Oryctolagus cuniculus: one gene and its partners. The protein of the gene in region 1 purifies or fractionates together with the protein of each later gene. This does not show direct contact. Links are inferred from orthologs where the notes say so. Each region holds a gene or a part of one and is shown in the gene's direction. Other genes may lie near its edges.

The links. The genes of interacting proteins can lie anywhere in the genome.
Region 2: the proteins of HSF1 (region 1) and PLK1 purify together in Homo sapiens (affinity purification with western blotting; 3 studies listed by BioGRID and IntAct, with this or other methods). This does not show direct contact. The link is inferred for Oryctolagus cuniculus from reciprocal best matches to the Homo sapiens genes HSF1 and PLK1.
Region 3: the proteins of HSF1 (region 1) and PRPF8 purify together in Homo sapiens (affinity purification with mass spectrometry; 3 studies listed by BioGRID). This does not show direct contact. The link is inferred for Oryctolagus cuniculus from reciprocal best matches to the Homo sapiens genes HSF1 and PRPF8.
Region 4: the proteins of HSF1 (region 1) and NCL purify together in Homo sapiens (affinity purification with mass spectrometry; 3 studies listed by BioGRID, with this or other methods). This does not show direct contact. The link is inferred for Oryctolagus cuniculus from reciprocal best matches to the Homo sapiens genes HSF1 and NCL.
Region 5: the proteins of HSF1 (region 1) and HSPBP1 purify together in Homo sapiens (affinity purification with mass spectrometry; 5 studies listed by BioGRID and IntAct, counting the BioPlex papers as one, with this or other methods). This does not show direct contact. The link is inferred for Oryctolagus cuniculus from reciprocal best matches to the Homo sapiens genes HSF1 and HSPBP1.

What each region holds. Positions count from the first base shown.
Region 1 is NC_091437.1:168,053,747-168,057,729, forward strand, and holds the start of HSF1 (heat shock factor protein 1), read left to right. Parts: upstream 1-1,183; 5' UTR 1,184-1,370; coding exon 1,371-1,487; intron 1,488-3,983. Other genes in the region: ribosome biogenesis protein BOP1, read right to left, coding at 883-984. UniProt on the Homo sapiens protein: Functions as a stress-inducible and DNA-binding transcription factor that plays a central role in the transcriptional activation of the heat shock response (HSR), leading to the expression of a large class of molecular chaperones, heat shock proteins (HSPs), that protect cells from cellular insult damage.
Region 2 is NC_091450.1:15,675,920-15,680,072, reverse strand, and holds the start of PLK1 (serine/threonine-protein kinase PLK1), read left to right. Parts: upstream 1-1,353; 5' UTR 1,354-4,051; coding exon 4,052-4,153. Other genes in the region: DCTN5 (dynactin subunit 5), read left to right, coding at 294-460. UniProt on the Homo sapiens protein: Serine/threonine-protein kinase that performs several important functions throughout M phase of the cell cycle, including the regulation of centrosome maturation and spindle assembly, the removal of cohesins from chromosome arms, the inactivation of anaphase-promoting complex/cyclosome (APC/C) inhibitors, and the regulation of mitotic exit and cytokinesis.
Region 3 is NC_091448.1:47,208,467-47,212,629, reverse strand, and holds the start of PRPF8 (pre-mRNA-processing-splicing factor 8), read left to right. Parts: upstream 1-1,363; 5' UTR 1,364-1,448; intron 1,449-1,527; exon of another isoform or gene 1,528-1,650; 5' UTR 1,651-1,661; coding exon 1,662-1,761; intron 1,762-2,265; coding exon 2,266-2,434; intron 2,435-3,666; coding exon 3,667-3,831; intron 3,832-3,921; coding exon 3,922-4,140; intron 4,141-4,163. UniProt on the Homo sapiens protein: Plays a role in pre-mRNA splicing as core component of precatalytic, catalytic and postcatalytic spliceosomal complexes, both of the predominant U2-type spliceosome and the minor U12-type spliceosome.
Region 4 is NC_091434.1:7,817,194-7,821,254, forward strand, and holds the start of NCL (nucleolin), read left to right. Parts: upstream 1-1,261; 5' UTR 1,262-1,472; coding exon 1,473-1,490; intron 1,491-2,409; coding exon 2,410-2,526; intron 2,527-3,519; coding exon 3,520-4,024; intron 4,025-4,061. UniProt on the Homo sapiens protein: Nucleolin is the major nucleolar protein of growing eukaryotic cells. It is found associated with intranucleolar chromatin and pre-ribosomal particles. It induces chromatin decondensation by binding to histone H1.
Region 5 is NC_091449.1:3,620,615-3,624,722, forward strand, and holds the start of HSPBP1 (hsp70-binding protein 1), read left to right. Parts: upstream 1-1,308; 5' UTR 1,309-1,466; exon of another isoform or gene 1,467-1,471; intron 1,472-1,713; 5' UTR 1,714-1,805; coding exon 1,806-2,009; intron 2,010-3,660; coding exon 3,661-3,865; intron 3,866-4,108. UniProt on the Homo sapiens protein: Inhibits HSPA1A chaperone activity by changing the conformation of the ATP-binding domain of HSPA1A and interfering with ATP binding. Interferes with ubiquitination mediated by STUB1 and inhibits chaperone-assisted degradation of immature CFTR.

The sequences.
Region 1 (3,983 bases):
CCCCCTCAGGCCCCCACCTCCTCCGCAGCGGCCCGCCCACCTAGGCCCCCACTGACGGCATGGCCACCCGCTGTCACCTGCTGTTAACAGGGCCAGCTCTAGGCGCCAGCAAAACCGCACTCCGACGCCGGTAACAGGAAGGTTGGGCCCTGCGGGAGAAACGGAAGCGGGCCCGGGAGCACCCAGGCTAGACGCCTCCTCCTCCAGGCAGCCCGGGACCAGCACCACGACGCCGCAGGGCGCCTGCCACCGCGGCACAACCGCGCACTCTTCCCGCAGGCAGCACAACCAGAGCCGAGCCCACCCCACGCCCGGGCACACGGGAAGGCGACCCCGCGGGAGCATCACCCGCGGCACGGCAGGAGTGCGGGGCCGGTGCGGGCAGCCCGGCCACGGCACTGCCCAAGACAAAGGGGGCGGCCTCTGCGCCCCAGGCCCGAGCGCGCCTCCCGCCACCCAGCGCGGGGGTCTACCGCACCGCCGAGGCCCCCGCCGCGGCGCAGGGAGCTCAGCTCTGCATCGCCCCCACGCATACAACGCGCCCCGCGCGGGACCCGGGGGTGAGCCGTGGGCGCAAGCACAAACCCTCCAGCGCCGGGACGCACAAATGGCGTCGAGGCGGGAGCCAGGGCCGCCTCCGGCCCCTTCGCGTCTCTTTCCTTCGCGGGCCAACGGCCCCAGCGCCCCCACTACGAGCCTCCTCCGCTGGGGAGGCCGCGGAGACGCCTGCAGCAGACGACACCCACATGCCCCAAGGCCGATGCCCAGCACACGGGAAAAGCGCCCAGCCCCGCGAGCCCTCCGCCGACGCCAGCCCCAGCAGCCTCGCGCCACGTGCACGTCCAGCCGGAACCAGACGCACCCCCGCCGTCCCCCGGTCACCTCCTCCGGCTCGGGCTCCCGCTCCTGCCCGGGATCCAGCCGCCGCTTCCCCGGCCGCAGTGCCAGCGCCACGGCGCGCCCAGCACCCTGCACGCCCGCCATGCTCCGCCGGCCGCTTCCGGCAGAACCTCGCAGCCGCATGCGCCTGCGGGCCCGGGACCGCCCCGCCGGCCCTGATTGGTGATTGGTCGGAGAAGGGGCGGGGCCTCACTTGCGCAGGCGCGAGGCGCGCGCAGGTGCGCAGGCGCGTTCCGGGGAGGGGCGGGGCCGGCACGCACAGGCGCGCAGGCGCACGCCAGGGCCGCGGCGGGCGGGGCGCCGGCGGGAGCGCGCCCGGCGCAAGATGGCGGCGGCCATGCGAGGCCCTGGAGTTGCGTGTGCGCAGCGGGCGGCGGCGCGGCCCGGGAGACAGGCGCGGCGACGGCGCTAGCCCTGCCCTCGGCCCCTCCTCACGGCCACTCCCTCCGCCTTTCCCGGCGTCGCCCGACATGGACCTTTCCGTGGGCCCCGGCGCGGCGGGGCCCAGCAACGTCCCGGCCTTCCTGACCAAGCTGTGGACCCTCGTGAGCGACCCCGACACCGACGCGCTCATCTGCTGGAGCCCGGTGAGGGCCCGCGGGGGCGGGGAGCGCCGGGGGCCCGGGGCCTGGGCGGGGGCCGGGGAGGCGGGCCGGCGGGGCGGCCGGAGGAGGGCACGGCCCGGGCCCGGCGCTGCAGGCCCGCTCTCCGCCGCGCAGGCCGTGTGTGGGCCGAGGCCCGGGACCTCGGGGAGTGACCCCCGGCTCCTCTGCGCGCGTTCTCCGCCTCCTGCCTCCTGAGCCCGCAGGAAGTGTTCTTGGCCGGGCAGGGCCCGGACCTCGCGGGCCCTCTGAGGGGTCCTGCGCGCGGACGCTCCGGGAGCGGCCACGGCCCCCTTGCTGTCTTGCTTATTGGGTCGGGAGGCGGCTGGGGAAGCGGGTGCGCCACTCTGGGCTTGGAGTGGGAAAGGCCCCACCACCTGTGGCCCTGCCGGCGCGTGGTCCCTGCGGGCCACCGGGACCCGACACACAGCTGACGGCGACCCCAGACCAAGCCCTGGCTTCACAGCGGAAGGCGGCGCTGCCCCAGGCTGGCTGCCTGGGCACAGTGGTGCTCTGGTCACCTTGGCCCGGAGGACACCCACGCAGGGCCCGTAGCCTCTGCAGGGTCACTGCCCAGAGTCCAGCTCGCCAAGCGTTGGGGAGGGTCTGAAATCCACGCCCGAGGGCCTTCTGCTCCTCCCCGAAGAGCCGGGGCTGCCTGTCAGCAGGGGTGGGGTGGGTGGAGAGCGCGGCCTGTGTGGGGCCCGGTGTAGCCCCTGCACTTGCCTGCCCTGGCCTGAGATCCGGACTCCTGTCAGCCACAGGCGTGGGGAGGACGGGGCAGTGAGTCACCACCCAGAGGGTCTGTGGGGGCAGGGATGCTGGCTCCGCGCCCTCCCGGGCAAATCCTCCTCCAGTTCAGGCTGCCCGAGGCAGCCAGGGCCCCCCCCCCCCACACACACACCGGCCCAAACCCCTGGGCGGGTCTGCTGGGCGCAGCAGTCAGACTCTGGGGGGCCTGGGGGCAGGGGGACACGCAGGCCCCAGTAGCCAGGTTGCTGGGCGCGAGGTCGGGGTTCCAGGTGGGTCTGTGCACCTCGCCGCAGGCCTCCCACCGCTTCCCAAAGAGGCAGAGGGGGCCGAGGACCCGGGTGAACAGGTGGCTCCACACTTGGGGCATGAGGCCGGTCCCTCAGCCCCGCTGCCTGCTCCTGGTGCCGGGGCCTTGCAGGGCTGAGGGCCAGCTCCGAGCTCCCAGCCCAAATGTGCGTGAGCAGTGGAGGCCGGGCGCGGCCGGGACGGAGCCCACCTCTGACCGACCGGAGTCCTGAGAGGGTGGAAGGCAGTTTACAAAGCGGCCTGGGTGTGGGGTTGCAGACTTTGCCGGTGCAGGTGGGCGTGTCCTGACCCGGAGGCGGCAGCGCCCTGCAGGGCTGGCTGGGGAGGTTGCCAGGAGAGCGCTGCCCCTGCTGAGCACCTCCCTGGCCTCTTTGGGAGGAGGCTGTGCTGTCCGCCAGGTCTGCTGGGGGCAGGGCGACACCCAGATGAGGGGTTTGGGAAGCGAGCCCCCCCCCTGCTGTGCTGAGCCAGGTGGGCTGGTTCCCAGCAGGCCCTGAGGCACAGGGCGAGGGCGCCCCACAGTGGCCGTCACAGGCCCTCTCATGGGTCCCCTTCAGGTGGGCGGGGGGGCGGGGGGTGCTCAGCACGGTGAGGCGGGAGATGGTAAAGACAAGTCTGGGCTCTTGCCCAGGCCGGCCAGCGTCACTCCCGGGAGGGAGGCAGTAGGGCCCCAGCACACCTGCCTCACAGTCAGGATTCAGAGGGTCCCGCCCCCTGGAGCGGGCGGGTGGAGGGACGGATGGACGGACGAGACAGGTTCTGCACTGTCTTCCTGTCCCTGGGGCCAAGGCAGGTAGGGCTCAGTGAGGACAGGCAAGGGGGTTAGAGCAGCGCCGGTGTTTGCTCCCAGCCCCTCAGTGAGGGGAGGGGCCGGCAGACAGCTCCCACAAGGCCCACGGGCCCCAGAGCCTGCTCCTTGGATGCAGGCTTCTTGGAGGCCTGGCAGGAGGAGGAGCCTCATGGGGGACGGGACGTTGGCCCCCAAATGTGTGCTGGTGCCCAGCAGCCCTGCTTCTCCCTTCTGGCCTCGTTGGTCCTGGGTGAGCAGAGAATTGTCTGGGCTGCATGACCCCGCGGGCCCAGGGCAGAGGGTCCCAGCCAGCCTGGGCAGGGTGAGAGCCAAGCTAGGACTGGGGAGGGGCTCCAGGAGTCGGCCCTCCTCTCTGCCCCACAGCTCCTGGCTACCCCACGGCTCCCTCGCCCCACGCGAGCCATGCATGTGCATCTGGGCTTGGGAGCAGAGCACACGCTGCACGCAGGTCTTGGCTGGGCAGGGTGACTGACGGGCCTGCCGTGGCCAGGACACAGCCTGGGCCTGAGGAGGGGTCCCGTGAGAGGCAGTGGCCAGCAGCCCTTGTGGCTCGTGGAGCCCTTTGAGGAAGGAAGCCACACGTCCCTTCTCCACGTGCAGCGTGCATGCAC
Region 2 (4,153 bases), on another chromosome or scaffold:
CTGGCACTGCAGGCGGCGGCTTTACCCGCTATGCCACAGCACTGGCCCCATATTGTCAGCTGTTTGAGCCACAAATGAGCTATGCTGAGCTGAAAGCAGGCGCCAGCTCAATGAACAGGACTCAGACCCTGGGACCACTGGTGATTTAGGGCCCCCTCCATGGGGCCCTGAATCTGAAGACATCTGGATGCTGGCTGAACCATCTGCTTGGCACACAAGTGCCCACAGGAAGGGGCTTCTCTGACAGGAACGCCTACAATCAAACTGCTGATCAGCTGCTGTCTCTGCTGCAGAGGCTGATTGCATTCCTGAAGTCAGATCTGTGCTGAAAGTCACCAGCTGGGAAAGGCACGTCACTGAGACTGTCACCTTTGTGCCTGCTTCGACAGTGCTGCTGTTTGTTGGCTCAGGCTCAGCTTTCGGGATTAGTTGCAGCTCACGACATTACCTGATAGTCTAACTCTGCTTCCCTTCACTTTTCTCGAGTACACACAGCCAAATGAGGTAGGTTGATAAAATGTTACTGTCCCCAGAAAGGGCTTGGTCTTTTCCAGCCTGTACATTGGGTAGACAGGACAAAAACAGAGGACAGTGATATACACTAATTTGTAAATTTCTGAAAATTTAGAATTTTATCCTCTACTAGTCTGCTAGGGTTACCGTAATGAAATACCAGAAACTGAGTGGCGTAAACAATAGGAATTTATTTTCTTACTATTCTGGAGGCTGGGGGTCCAAGAGCAAGGTGACAACAGGTTTGATTTTTCCTGAAGCCTCTCTCCCCGGCTCACAGATGGCTGCCTTCCTGCTGTGTCCTCCCAGAGTCCCTCTGTGTGTGTGTCTCTGCGTCTTATCACCCCTTTCTATAAGGCCACCAGTCCTATTGGATTAGTGCCCACCCTAACAACCCCATTTCAACTTCATCTCCGCTCTAAAAGCCTATCTCCAAACACAGTCGCATTCTGAAGTACCAGTGATTAGGGCTTCAACAAGTGGATTTTGGGGGATACACCCCATAGCATCCTTACAAGCTCCTGACTGTGTCTTTCTATTACGTTGTGTACAGATCTGTATCTGCAAAGCTGTCTTTGTACCTCCTGTATACAACTCTTCCATACAAAAGGCCTAAAAAATGATTGAAAGAATGTAAAGTTAGGATTGTTGAAGAGGACTAATTTTGTAACATTGGAGAAATAAAAACCTGGCACCTGAGGAGGCCTGATACTTGTTCTTGAGAACTATTCCTGAAAACCTTCCCCTCTTCCTGAAGGGTAAGTTCCCCGCGCTGCCTTTCCACCTGTTGGAGTGCTTGGGGTTCAGACGGCGGACAGTGGGGGAGGGGAGGGCTCCAGCACTTTGTATACCAAACACCTTCGCTTGCCATCCACACTGACGAGTAGGATAAACTTGTGTCGTGAACAGGCAAAACTGGGACTCACTGCCTTCAGGAAGTTCCTCAGAAACCAAGCACTCTGGGAACTTTTCTGATGGGCCTGAAAACATGGTAGGAGTCCACAGGGGGGCCCCTTGTTAACCTGTTGTGCCTGATTTATGTCCTGCCCTCATTTTGTAAAGGCGTTGTATCCAGGGGTGCCACCTGGGCCTCTGGGGTTGTACTTGTCTATGTGACCCTGACTGCCCTGACCCTGCACCAGCCCTGGAAGGGCTTCAACCTGCTGGCCAGAGTCCTGCCGTGCCTGAACTGACGCCTCAGGTCAGTTAGCATGGTTTACATCACCCAAGGCGGAGGCCACCTGGCTTTCTGAGATGGACTTCTGCAGTTATGGGAGTGATGGGAACCGGCTAAACTTCAGACCCGTAGCAGGCGTGACTGAAACCACAGTGCAGGACGGTCTTGCCTCTTCACACGCAGTCTTACTGGTAATTTTTCTGTGAAGAAGCCTCAGCCCAGAGGGTGAGTGGTGCAGAAGTTAATAGAGAGGTGATAAGCATTAACGGAGCAGGCTGCGGCTGGCTCCCCTTCCGAAGGTCTGTTTGCAAGGTTGACCCTGGGCTGCTGTCTGGGAGCTTAGATTTCAGGTAGGTTCTCACCGCTCCTGCGTGCCGTACACCTGCTTCTCCTGAGAGTCTGGAGTTCTGATAGGTGTTAGGCAGAGGCCAACATCATGACCAGCACCCAGTGAAAATTGTAGGTAGTCCCAACTCATTGCTGGAAGAAGTCAGGGTGTCCTTTGTGACTACGCTGGGAAATGACTGGGAAACTCACACCTGGGTTCCTCTGGACTTCGCTCCGTGTGTCTTTTTCCTTTGCTGCTTTTATTCCTAGCCTTTCGCTGAACTAACTCACAGCTGTGAGTTCAAGTGTGTGCTCCGTCCTGCGACTGTCCTAGTGAATCATCTAACTGAGGGGTGGTTAGGGCACAAGGAGGGCTTCTTGGGTGTTGGTGGGGTTCTCGTTCTCAGTCTGAGTGTTGTTTACATGGGGCATGTTTACAGTTTGTGAAAATGTGCCGCTAGGATGTGAAAATTGTCCTGTGGAGTCTTCCAAATATTAGTGAAAAGCTAAAATAGAGTACACTTGATGGGGATTTTTAAAAAAATGATGATTAAAAGCAAAAACCCTTGCTTTTACTCAGCAACCATTTCGGTAATACCCGCACCAGCCACGCATGCTGCACTGCCAGTTGGCATGAGGTGCTGTCTTCGTTGCACCAGCCTAAGTGGGGGCCTGGTCAGGAGGAGCTTGTGCTCTGATTGTCGCTACTCAGAGACCGTCCACCTTCGTGTTCTGCTGTCCCAGGGTTGTCAGTCAAGGGCCTTCGGAATGGGCGCAGGCGGGAGCTGGGTGCTGTGGCAGACTGGGAGGGTTGGTCAGTCCAGAGTGGTTGGCACCTCGGATTATTTCAGAAAAAGCCACAAATCTGAATTTTTGTGTGAGCCACCTTTATTTATTTTTTTTTGTAACTGTATTTATTTTGCCTAATTTGAAAGGCAGAGAGAGAGAAAGAGAGATTCTCTATCCTCTGTTCACTCCCCGCATGTCCACAACAGCCAGAGCTAGGCCAAGCCAGAGCCAGAAGCCAGGGACTCAAGTAGCTGAGCGGTGACCTGTGGCCTCCCAGGGTGTGCATTAGCGGGAAGCTGGACTGAAGCAGAGGTGGGACTTGAAGCCAGGCACTTTGACAGGGAATGCAAGTGTCCCCAAGCCCAGCTTGAGCTCTCTTTGCTGTGAATGAATTCAAATTTTCAAAGTGGAAAACCACACCAAACAGCCTGCAGCTCAGCTGTGGCTGTGACCTGCCCGTCTCTAGGCATTCTCCCAGCCAGCCTCCCTCTCCCGCGTCCTCTATTTTAGGCACTTGGGAAGGCGAGCCAGGCAGCTTTCCCGCGTCCCGTAGCGGGCTCCAGTGTGTGTAGGAATCACCTGGGCAGATTCTGACCTGGGAGAGCTGGAGCAGGCCTGAAGCTCCAGGTGATGGTGATGCTGCTGGCTCCTGGACGGTGCTTTGAGCGGCGTTGCTGTGTAATGCAGAGCCCTGGAGGGGACCAGAGGCGTCCCGTGAAGGTGCCTGCTTTCACTTAGATTCCAGTTTATTCGGGGTGGCTCGCCCGAGGGCCCGGGGCAGGCAGGCGGCTGCCCTGCAGGTCAGCTGTGGCTCTCTTAAACTGCCTCTAGGCGCTGCGGGGTCTCTACTCTTGGGAAAAACTTGCCCGAGGGAGCGTGTGAACCGCAGGAGCGGCCCGGCTCCCCAGTAAGGGAGAAGCCCTGAACGAATTCCCCTCTACCCGGGGCTGGGGCTCGGCCTCCCCAGGCCGGGGACGCTTTCCCAGGAGAGCCCACGTGTCTACCGTCGGCGCCTTGCTGTCAATCAAGTGTTTTCCTGCCCGGGTCCGGGCTGACGGGCGGGCGGTGCGGAGCGCTCCCATGGTCCCGCGCGGCGGGCGGGTTTGGATTTTAAATCCCCGCGGCCAATCAGTGGCGCGCAGGCTGTTGTAACGTTCCCAGCGCCGCGTTTGAATTCGGGGAGGAGCAGTGCGGTGCAGAGCCTCTGCCCCGACCCTGCCAGGTCCGCCGAGCAGCCCCGGGAGCATGAGTGCAGCGCTGAGTGCAGCAAAGCTGGCGCGGGCGCCGGCCGACCCAGGGAAGGCTGGCGGCCCCGGAGTGGCAGCTCCCGGAGCACCGGCAGCTGCT
Region 3 (4,163 bases), on another chromosome or scaffold:
CTCGAACCAGTGCCCATATGGGATGCCCTCTCCCATATGGTGGCCCCCACACTGGTTTTCTAAAAATGCTCTTATAAGTCAGAAAATTCTTCCTGCCTAAGCTCATGGCCTTTCTCATTTTTCTGCAGCTCTTGCAGCTTCATAACACAGGAGATGACTTCCTTTTTTTTTTTTTTATCTTTTCTTTATTTTTTTTAAAGATTTATTTTTATTTGAAAGGCAGAGAGAGAGAGAGAGAGAGAGAGAGAGAGAGAGAGAGAGACAACGTTTTCCGTCTGCTGGCTGCAACTGCTGCAGTGCCAGCATCTCATATGGACACTCGTTTGAATCCCAGCTGCTCCACTTCTCATCCAGCTCCCTGCTGAATGCGCCTGGGAAAGCAGTAAGTAGAAGAGGGCCCAAGTGCTTGGGCTCCTGCAGCCCCATGGGAGACCCGGAAGAAGCTCCTTGCTCCTGGTTTTGAACTGGCCCAGTTCCTGCTGTTGCAGCTATTTGGGGAGTGAGCCAGCAGATGGAAGACCTCTCTGTCTCTCTCTCTCTCTCTGCCTTCTGTAACTCTGCCTTTCAAGTAAATAAATAAATCATTAAAAGAAAAAAAGAATTTAGGCTCCTATCCCACACCATACACAAAAATCAATCGAATATAAATCATAAACCTTTACGTAAGAGCTAGAACTATTAACATTTAAGAAGAAAACAGGAGAACTGGGAGAGACAGAGCCCCCATCTGCCAGACCACTCGTCAAATGCCTCAGCAACAGGGTGAGGCCAGGATGAAGCCAGGAACCCGGGACTCAGTCCAGGTCTCCAACGAGGGCGGCAGGGACCCCATTCCTCTTACACTGGCTGGCTCCCAGGGCCTCCATTGGCAGCAAGCTGGAGTTTGGAGCATCCAACTCTTAGATGCGGGACACTGGCGTCCTCCCGCCCCAGGCTGGGTCGTCTTCCTTCCTGCTACCTGTCACCTGCGCAAAGCTGTCTTTCTCTGCTATATCCTCAAGCCTCGTTACACAGTGGACCCTCTAACGATTAAATGAATGGCTGCATCGACAAAGGTCTCCATTTATGAGAAAAATCACAGAGGGTGCAATTCTGGCAGATTTATTAAAACTTGGACGGATTCGGTCTCTCCCGCCGCGACGCCAGCAGCTTAGACCGTAAATCCGCCCGACGCCCCGAGGCAGCCTCGCGATTAGGGAGGCGGGACTTGAACCTAGCCCGACCACACCCCTTCACGTTCGCATCCCTTCCGCCTATGGGCCCGCCTACTCCGGCTCAATGTCCACCTGTAATTGGTGAGCTCGTCAGTCTATCTGAGAAACTGAGCGCCCATTGGATCAACTGCTAGATGGGGTTGCGCACTTCCCGGCGTTAGGAACGCGGAGCGGACGTATGCTTGCCGCCATTGCTCTACTGCAAAAGCGGTTGTTCGTGTGAGGGGCTGTGGGGTGCGTGGCGGGCGTTCTGGGCCTGGCTGCGGGAGGCGTGGTGGTGTGGGGCTGAGCGGCCGGAGGGGCTGGGCCGGGCCGCGCTAGATGCAGCCTTAGCAAGGTGGCGGTACAGGCCGGGGTCTCCAGAAACGTTCCTGCTGCGCTTGTTGTGGGTCCGGGCCTTGTCGCTCATTAATTGTTGCATCCCGCTGCTGCTCAGAGTCTCCGGGCATGGCCGGAGTATTTCCTTACCGAGGGCCGGGTAACCCGGTGCCCGGCCCTCTAGCCCCGCTGCCGGATTACATGTCGGAGGAGAAGCTGCAGGAGAAAGGTGAGGAACGGGTGTGCGGCGGCGCGCGCTGGCCTGGAGACGGCTCGGGTTGCGAGCTTGCGTGTGTGGCCGGGGTGGAGTGTGCGCGTGCGCACCAGTGGGTTTGACATCCCCCCCCCTCCCATTTTGGCAGTTCGTTAGGTGTCAGTTCCCTTATGAGTGACACTTAGTATTTTTAAAAAATCGAATGAGGTAGTTTGCAGCGTCTGGATCAGCTGGCGCTGATCCGGTGGAATACAGTAGTAATGAAGACACGTCTGCCATTATGGGATTTGAATTGCAATGAGGGAGTTTGACAATAAAAGCCTCGAACACCTGTGACAAAAACATCAAGCAGTGTTAAATGTGGTGATGAAGATGGCAAGGGAGGCGCCCTTTCCCGCTGGGTGCCCTGCTGTCCCCAGACTTGTCTTCTCTAACAGGAGCTTACCCTAGGACAAGGGGGTGGGGTGTAATCAGGCTAAGAGTGTGCATTCAGCCCTTTAAACCGGGGTGCTTTTGTAGCCCGAAAATGGCAGCAGTTGCAGGCCAAGCGCTATGCAGAAAAGCGGAAGTTTGGATTTGTGGACGCTCAGAAGGAGGACATGCCCCCAGAACATGTCAGGAAGATCATCCGAGACCACGGGGACATGACCAACAGGAAGTTCCGCCATGACAAAAGGGTCTACTTGGGGTAAGGATTATCCTGAAATCATTTCGTTTGGAGTTTGGCCTTCTCTTCTCTCTACGGAGGTTGCTGTCCTGGAGAGATGCTCTGACATTTGGAGGTGGGAGTCCTCTTGGTTGACTCCATTTTGGTGGTTATGAGAGACAGGAGAACATTTCTAGGATTTACTGGTAATTTTCAGATATTCCAGTTAATGCACTTTAGTGCCCAGATTCCTCTTCCTGATCTGAGACTGGTGCTTTAATTTGTCGTTTTAAAAAAGATTTATTTATTTATTTAAAATGCAGAGCATCAGCTGGAGAGAGATTTTCCAGCTGGCTGCAACAGCTGGTGTTTGGTCCTCTCTCCAGGTCTCCTATGTGGGTGACAGTTCCCCATGTACCTGGGCCATCTTCCATTGCTTTCCCAGGATCGTTAGCAAGGAGCTGAGTTGGAAACAGCAGCCAGGAATTAAACTGGCACTCTGACATGAGCTGCCTGTAGCCAGTCTGCGGCTTACCCTCTTTGTGCCACAGCGCTGGCCCCTTAATTTGTCTTATTGGTGCTATTAAAAGGTGCTTCTTTTATTGAACGAGTTGAGGTCCAGAGTGGGACAGTCTGGCTGCCTGTAACTTCGCAGTGACCAGACTTGTTGTATTTGGGGTGGTTAACTCCTGAGTCCTCTGTCCTCATGTTTCTCTGTCCCTGAGCTGAGTGAATACAGATAGAAAAGTCACAGCTAATCTTTGTTCCATTTGAACACAAAGATGTTAACTGTGGAAGTTTCATTTATTTAAAAAATATTTTGATGTGTGTGGATTGTGCTAGGTGCCAGGGGTATAGCAGTGAACAGGTACTAATGATTCCTACTTTTCTGGAGCATTATAGTCTGGTGGTGTGGCCAACACGAGACTACCAGTTACAATAAAGTATGGTGAATATTTGATAGTTTGTGGGAAGGTAGAGAGAAGATAGGTTGTGAGGGAGCTTCAGAGCTGTCTGCAGAGGGGTAGCTGTTGATTTCAAGGGATTGATGCCCCTAAACTGGGGGACTGTGAAGTTGAGGAGGAAAAGAGGCACCTGGTGAAGTAGGAGAGGGAGAGGCAGGATTCCTGGTCGGGGGGGCTGTGTGCTGACGGGAGTCTAAACTGTCAGGGAAGATTGCCCGTGGAACACGATACTGAGGTAGCATGGTTCTCTACATAGGACAGGGAGCAGAATACCTTGTCGTTGCTAATGATCTCTTCCCAATGTGGCAGGGCCCTCAAGTACATGCCCCATGCTGTCCTCAAGCTCCTGGAGAACATGCCCATGCCTTGGGAGCAGATTCGGGATGTGCCTGTGCTGTACCACATCACTGGAGCCATTTCCTTCGTCAATGAAATTCCCTGGGTCATTGAGCCTGTCTACATCTCCCAGTGGGGGTAAGCGAGGCTGGCACACGGTGCGTGTGGTGATGCTGGTCGGGAGGCAGTGAGTAGAACTTGCTATACTGTGGTACTCTGGTCTGCCAGGTCAATGTGGATCATGATGCGTCGAGAAAAAAGAGACAGGAGGCATTTCAAGAGGATGCGTTTCCCCCCTTTTGATGACGAGGAGCCGCCGTTGGATTATGCTGACAACATTCTGGATGTTGAGCCACTGGAAGCTATTCAGCTAGAGCTGGACCCGGAAGAGGATGCGCCTGTGTTGGACTGGTTCTATGACCACCAGCCTTTGAGGGATAGTAGGAAGTGAGTGATGGTGGAGTTACCAC
Region 4 (4,061 bases), on another chromosome or scaffold:
CTCGGCCGCCCCGAAGAATGCTCCTAGGCCTTTAGTGCAAAATCCCAGGTGGGCAGCTGGGGCGCCGCAGGCTGAGCTGCCGCGTGGGCCGGACCGAGTGCCTAGGATGTGGCACCACCTCCACTTCCGACCACATGGGAGACAGCAAGGGACGCTGGAGTCCCGGGGTCCCTGGCCCTCAGCTCCCGGGGAGGCCTGCATGGAGCCCCTGGCTTCGATCCGGCCCAGCCCTGGCTGTTTTGGGCATCTGGGCAGGTCTGCCACTCTGCCTCTCCAACAGAAACAGAGCGACCCCGGGCCCCCCCAGACCTCCTCAACTTTGAACCTTCAGAGGCGACTTTTATCAAAGGTTCTGCTGGGGCAGCTGGTTACCAGAAGCCTGGGGGGCATCCGAGGCCGGCTCCGGTTGGTTCGCTAAGCCTGGCGCCCATCTGAGCCGCCGCAGGAGCACACAACGCCAAGCCCACCTTCCGAGCCCCCGCCCGGGGCGCCGGGTCCACTGCTGGGCCACGTGTGCCGCTGCCCGCCCAGCCGCCACACTGACGGCAGAGGAAGCGCGGCGGGCGGCCCAGGTCCCGCTGCCCACCCCACCATGACCAAGCCCCTCGCGGGCGCGACCTCCAAGCTGCTGGACCGCGGGGACAAACACCTGCCGCGTGGTTACGGGGGACTAACCGAGCGCTTGTGCACGGCTCACAACTCTACCCGCAGCCCTCGGGAGGCACGTGGGCCGGAGGGCGCTCCAGCGGCCAGGGAGTCTGGGGCCCCTGGCTGGCCGGCGGGCCCCCGAAAGGGCCACTCGGAACTTGGCCGAACCTCAACTTCCGGCGCCCTCGGGCTGACCCGCAGGAAACCGCCGCGACCCCTCGCTCCAGAGCCGCAAGCAGGCTCAGCGAGGAGCGCGCACCGGCGCCCTCCCGCGCACACGTCTACCGGACCCGGCTACTTTCTGGAAACCGAGACCACCGCCCCGCGTTCGCTCAGTTCGCCGCGCCACTCGCTCGCTCGCCCCGCGCCAAAAGAGCCCGTCGCATGACGCATGCGCCGGGACGACCGGCCGCGGAGGAACACTCTGCGACCCGCGCACCCCCGGGCCAATCAGCGCCGGCCTTGCACAAAGCAAATCCCGCCTCCAGGACGCGGCCGCCAGACCCCCTTCCCCTCCTTGGCCGCCTGGGCCCGCCCACTCCGGCCCAATCCCCGCCCCACGCCGCGCACAGTTAGCGGCTTGCGATTGGCTCGCGCGACGGACGCGAGCTCTGATTGGTAGAGGAGGAGTCACGAGGGCGCCGTCGTCGCCTTTCCAGAGGCGATTACTGGGCAGGCTCAGTCTTTCGCCTCAGTCTCTAGCTCTCGCTGGCAGCCCGGCGTACGTGCTCCGGCATCTTCAGTCACCCGCGGCCGCCATCGACGCCGCTCGGGTTCCTCTAGGCTCGTCTGCGCCACAGCCGCCGCCGTCGTAAGCCGCCATCATGGTGAAGCTGGCCAAGGTAAGCGCTGAGGGCGCGCGAGCGCGAGCGCCGAGGCCTGCTGCTCAGGAGCGCGCGCGGCGTCGCGGGGAGGAGGGCCTGCGCGCCGTCCCGGGCGCGTTCGAGGGCGCCATGCTGTGGGAAGTCTCGCGCGACTGGCGGGCAGTTCTCGCGTGTCTTGGCTGCTTGGCGGCGAGGTGCGGCGCGCTCCGGCAGGTGCTGAGGGCGGCGTGGAAGGCTGCGGCGCGGGGCGCGGGGCGGCGGGAGGAAGTGAGATCCAACTCGTGCGCCGCGCGCGGGCCGGGCCCCGCCTCCGGCCGCACGTGCGCCGGCTCGCGGCCCGCCACGTGGGCCCCGCCGCGTGGGCCGCGGGGTGGCCGGGGCCCGCCGGCGCGAACCCGCGGCCCTGGCCCAGCTGCCCGGGGCCCCCCGGCCGCCGCCACGTGCGCCGGCCCCGGAAGGAGGCGCCGGGGTGCGTGCACATGGTGGCCGCCGGGCACCCCCACGTGGCCGCGGCCAGGTGAGAGGGGCAGGCCGGTTGGGGTCCGAGGTGGCTTTGTTACTTTTATGCTTTTGCGACGCTGGTGCTGCCCGGAGTTCCGACGAGGGCGCTGGTGGTGTGCGTCGGAGGCTGGGGGGGGTCCTCCCTGGAAGAGTGGCCGCTGGCTACTAAGAAGGGTGCCTGGTGCTAGGGTTGAACCCAGGGGTGAATTAAGTGGTTGAGGGTAAAAAAAGGCAGATGGGTTATTTCATCACCTTGGACTTGTTTTTTAGGTTTTGTCAAGATTGACAGGGAAACTCTGATGGGCCGTACTGTTGGTCAGTTTCAGGATCGGTTATGTTTAATGCTGAAAGTGCGTTGAGGAGGGTGATGGTTGTATTTTATTGTGGGCCGTGGAATCGATGAGGGGTGTTCATGTCCTCATTGTGTGCGTTTTAGGCTGGTAAAAACCAAGGTGAGCCCAAGAAAATGGCTCCTCCTCCCAAGGAGGTAGAAGAAGATAGTGAAGACGAGGAGATGTCGGAAGATGACGAGGATGACAGCAGTGGAGAAGAGGTAACTGGGTCGCGATCGAGGAGAAATTGGGTTGCACTTACACAGTGGACAGAATGGTGTTGGGTGTCTGAAAAGGATATGAAAAGTAGTGTGTTATTCACGTGACCCGGGGTGGGGGGTGCTTAGATGGCAGGAGACCGTTGGGTGAGTACCTGAGTGTGAGCATCTGGGATCTGTGCCCTCTGCACGGCTGGAGTGAGGTTGATACACTTCTCCTGCTCAGCATAAAGGACCAGGTGGATTCTGTCCCCCCCCTGTATGTAAGGTTTGTAGCGATTGGGTGGGTTGAAGGTGCCACCTGAGCATTCACGTTCATTGCTTGCATGGAAAGTCGGTTTTTTAGAATTCAGCAAAGACTTTACTCTTAAGTGAACTATCTGATAAACTAGGAAGTTAATGAAAATAGCTTTGAATAGGAGTTAAAATGTAGGTAAATAATGGTTCTTACAGATACAGTGTTTATTTGATGTGCTGTAATTTGTAAGGGTTGCTCAGCCAATTTAAGGCTGATTTTTATCTCAGGTCCTGTCTCAGGACAAGAATCCTGTACCACTACCCACTGTATGATCCCCAGATGATTTTTAATATTCAGATTTATTTATTTGCAAAGAGAGTTATAGAGAGGCAGAGTTCTCCCATCCACTGGTTCACTCCCCAAGTGGCTGCAACGTCCAGAGCTGGACCTATCCGAAGCCAGGATCTTCTGGGTCTTCACGTGGGTGCAGGGGCCCAAGCGCCTGGGCCATCTTCTGCTTTCCAGGCCACAGCGGAGAGCAGGATGGAAGTAGAGCAGCTGGGGCTTGAATTGGCTCCCATATGGGCTGCCGGCAGCAGTTTTATGTGCTACGCCACAGCACTTTACTTACTGTTGAACCTAACATGTTAACATGGAACATATGCAGTCTTGAACCAGAGGCAGTGCCAGAATCCACCACTGGGACCAGGGCTGCCTTTCGGATGTAGCAGAACTAACTGTTGGTGTTTGCTGTTTAGATAGTCATCCCACAGAAGAAAGGCAAGAAAGCTGCTGCGGCTCCAGCCAAGAAGGCGGTGGCTTCCCCGACAAAAAAGCCTGCGGCTGCCACTCCTGCCAAGAAAGCAGTTGTCACTCCAGGTAAAAAGGGAGCCGCCACCACGCCAGCGAAGAAGGCCGCTACCCCAGCCAAAGCGGTGGTGGCGTCGGGCAAGAAGGGGGCCGCGCTGGGCAAAGCAGTGGTAGCGGCCTCGGGAAAGAAGGGAGCGGTCCTCCCCGCCAAGGGGGCCAAGAATGGTAAGAACGCCAAGAAGGAAGACAGCGACGACGAGGAGGAGGAGGAGGACAGCGAGGAGGACGACGACGACGAGGATGAAGATGACGAGGAGGACGAGGAGGATGAGTTTGAGCCGGCGGTCATGAAGGCAGCAGCGGTGGCCCCCGCCTCCGAGGATGAGGACGAGGAGGACGAGGATGAAGACGACGATGAGGACGAGGACGACGACGAGGAGGACGAGGAAGACGGTAAGGAAGTCATGGTGGCTCCTGGCTCTGGGAGGTT
Region 5 (4,108 bases), on another chromosome or scaffold:
AGGAAGACCTTTTTCTCTCTCTCTCACTTTCCACTCTGCCTGTCCAAAAAAAAAAAAAAAAAAAAAAAAAAGGCAGTGTAGCAGAGAGAGAGGGGGAGACAGAGATCTTCCATCTGGTGGTTCACTCCCCAAATGGCTGCAACAGCCAGGGCCAGGCCAGGCCGAAACCCAGAACATGGAGCTCCATCTAGGGCAGGCCAGAGCCCAAGCACTCAGGCTGTCTTCTGTTGCCTTCCCAGGCCCAATGGCAGCGAGCTGGATCGGAGGTGGCACGGGCAGGAATTGACCCAGCACTGAGGTGGGACCGGCGGCTTAAGCTGCGGTTAAGGGCATTGAAATGGGGGAGGTTTTCCTGGTGATCTGAGTGAGTCCAGTGTGATCACAGGGTCGTTCTGTGTAAGAGGGGTGCTGGGGAGGACAGGAGATGGGAGCAGTGCTGGCGCCACGTGGCCAGGAGCGGGAGCAGCTTCCGGAAGGAATCCCATGCTGCCCACGCCTTGGTTTTAGCCCAGTGAACCTTATCCGACTTCTGCCTTCAGAAATGCGTGGTGTGTGCCGTGTTAAGCCACCGACAGCAACAGGAAAACACCGTATGGGTACTGCCAGGGCCAGACGCCTGGCTGACAAAGCTCCCTGGTGTGCCCAGGCGGCCCAGCTGTCTGTCGCCCCATCTCTGCCTGAGATACCCCGCTGAGGGCCCGGCAGGAGATGGATACCTGCGGCCGAGCGCGGTGCCTGGAGGAGCCGAGCCGGGGTTTCTCTGAGCCCGACCCGGCCCAGCCCAGCCCCTGGCCCCGGCTGGGTGCACAGAATCGTCACTTGCGATTCCCTCCCAGCACCTGGCACTCTGTAAGGGAGAAGCGAGGGGAGAACAGGGGGCCCCAGGGCAACCACCATTTGACAAATGGAGAAACTGAGGCAGAAGGTGAGGCGGTGGGCTGGGCCCAAGGCGGCATCGGAGGTTGAATACAAGGTGCAAGACCCCTAGGGCTCCAGCAGAAGGCAAAGTGGATGCCCAGGCGGAAGAGAAAATGAGATTTGGGGTTGATGCCCAAACCGACCTAGGGCGCAGCACCTGCAGGAAAGGGGCGTGGCCTGGGGAGGGGCGTGGCTTAGCGGTCGCGGGAGGCCTAGAACAGAGGCACAGGGGCGGGGACGTGGATGCAGGCGGGGGCCCCGGGTCGGAGCCAGGCTTGGGGGGCCCACACCGGGGCTGCAGTGAGGGTGATGGGGCGGGGCTTATCCCGAGGCACGGCGTGGGGGCGGGGCCTGGCTGGGAGGGGTAGGATGGAGGGCTCCGGAGACCTGCCAGCTGCCTCGGGCCGCTCAGCCACCCGAGGTCGGCTGGGTCCGCCCAACACTTCCGGGTTAGAGCGCGCGTACTTCCTGTCAAGATGGCGGCGCCCAGCAGAGTCAGGTGCGGGCGGCTCTGAGTCTCTGAGCGGCCGCAGCCCGAGGTCCTGGAGGTGAGGTCTGTCCCGCTGCGCCGCCCCCTTCGGAGAGGAGGGCGGAGACCCTTTGCGAAGGAGGCCGAGGGGCGGGCGGGCCTGCCGCTACGGGGGTTGGGCCGTGGGGCTCGCCCGGCGCGGAGATGGGGCTGTTGCTAGGGAGGGTGGGTGGGGCCTGTTGCCAGGGGGCAGGGGGTGCCTGCGGCTCTGGGGCGCTGCGTGGATGGGGGTCGTGCGGGGGCTCCAAGCGTCACCTTCTCGGCAGATCCCCGGGAGCCGACCCCTCAGGACGCCGGGGCTGCCCCAGCAGCGACCCCTTCTCCCTCGCAGCACAGCGTTCTCCTGCACACACGGCCCATGGCGGACGAAGGCTCGGGGGGCAGCCGCCTGCCCCTGGCGCTGCCCCCAGCCTCCCAGGGTTGCTCCTCGGGGGGCAGCGGCTCCGCGGCGGGGGGCTCGGGCAACTCGCGGCCCCCGCGCAGCCTGCCGGGCCTGCTGCAGATGGCGATCGCGGCGGGCTCGGAGGAGCCGGACCCCCCTCCGGAGCCCATGAGTGAGGAGGTAAGGAAGGGGGACGCCGGGCGGGGGTGCGGGACCGGAGGCCGCGGTCTTGGGAGGGGGCGGCAGTCCTGGCGCGTCAGGCCCCAGAAGCGTCTGGGAGGACAGGTGCTCGCACCCCAGAACTTTTCCGGGAGGTGCAATAGCCCGGTGGGGGGTGGCCAGGGACTCCGCAGAGCTAGGCAGGCCTGGGTTCGGCTGGATCGGCGCCGTGACCTTGGATGTAGGAACGGTACTTAACTCAGAGCCTCAGGTTTGTCGCTTGTAGACCGGCGATGATTGACAGTACTTGAGCGGGCACTTGGGAGGTTCCAGTTCAGGAAGGGCGGGCAGCAGCCAGGTCGCCCCCAGGGCACAGGCTCCGCTCTGTCCGGCTTCAGGCCTTGCCGACTGCTGACCGCGGGACCCTGGGGCGGTGGTAGCCTTCCCGTGCCTCGGTGCTCTCTCCGTGAGTCGGGGATGATGGTGATAGCTCACAGAGCTGTTGGAAAAGCCAGAGTCACAGAGAGAGAGGCAGAAGGGTCTTCCATCCGTTGGTTCACTCCCCAGATAGCCGCAACGGCCAGGGATGGGCCAAGCGGAAGCCAGGAGCCAGGAGCTTGACCGGGGTCTCCCACCTGGGTGGCAGGGGCCCAAGCACTTGTGGCATCCTCCGCTGCTTTTCCCAGACCATGGCCGGGACACAAACCGACGTCTTTGTCGGATGCCGGCGCCAGCTACACCACGACACAGGCCCCTCCTGGAGTTGTTCTGAAGATTGGTAGCAATATTATGCTACCAATAATATTATACATTTTGTTATTACAATGTATACCATATTATATATTGTTATGTAGTCGTTATGTAGTCGTGCATAATGTTTAATCGCCGGTCACCGAATGGGAAGCGTTTGCTAATCCGCTCTGTGCGTCCTGTTTTGAACCTGTGCCACAGGGAGGAAGCCAGATTTGTCCCGGCCCGAGCAGAGCCCTTTGTGAGGCCTTCGCACGGGGCCCTGGGAGGGACCCACACTGGCCAGTGCTCGGCTTTCACCCCGACCCGATGGCGGCCTCCCGTCATTCCCTCCCCTTGGAGCTCTTCCTTTGTTTGTTTTGCTTTCTTTTTCTTTTTTTAAGATTTTGCTTATTTGAAAGAGATCCTCCATCTGCGGATTCACTCCCCCGATGGCCGGGGCTGGGTCAGGTGGAAGCAGGGACCCAGGAGCATCATCTGAGGCTTCTCCACGTGTGCAGGGGCCCCAGCACCTGGGCCGCCCTCGCTGCTTTTCCCCGGGAGCATTCGCAGGGAGCTGGATGGGAAGTGGAGCACTGGGACTCAAACCGGCGCCCATACGGGATGCCAGCACTGCAGGCGGCGGCTTTACCAGCCATGTCCCAGCCCCTAACCTCTCCCTGACCCCTGCCTGGTGGCAGCCCCGCCTCAGCGCCGTGGGGCCCGCTGGCACCTGTCCTATCTCCCCTGGCACACTCACTCTGCCCGTTTTCTGCAATATCTGCTCCGGGACCAGACGCGACTGCCCTCAGAGCAGGGGTTTCTGCTGGCCCAGGGCTGCGTCCCCAGTGGCCGCCGCCGGCCCTCAGGTGCTGGGCATCCTGGGTAACGGCCGCTCCTCCTTGATGAATTACCGACAGGTGTGTGCTTTGCTCCCCCGCAGAGGCGTCAGTGGCTGCAGGAGGCCATGTCGGCCGCCTTCCGGGGCCAGCGGGAGGAGGTGGAGCAGATGAAGAGCTGCCTCCGCGTGCTGTCGCAGCCTGTGCCCTCTGCAGCCGCCGAGGCCGAGCTGGCCAGCGACCAGCAGGAGCGCGAGGGCGCCCTGGAGCTGCTGTCCGACCTGTGTGAGAACATGGACAATGCCGCAGGTACCCCGGCCTGCCAGGGCGCCCCGCCCCGCTGTCCTCTCTCAGCTCCGTCACGTGAGGGATCGGTCTCACAGGCCCTGTGCTGGTGGGCGCTCGGCCCCTCCCCCCTGCCCCCGTGGCTGCGTGACAGGCGTGTACCCCTGTCTGTTTCTGGAAGTTGGAGGAACTCGGTGGGGCGCGGGCTGTGTTCCCCCCAGGGGGTGGTCACCGAGATGGGAGGTCAGAGGGGGCACCCCAGTCGCT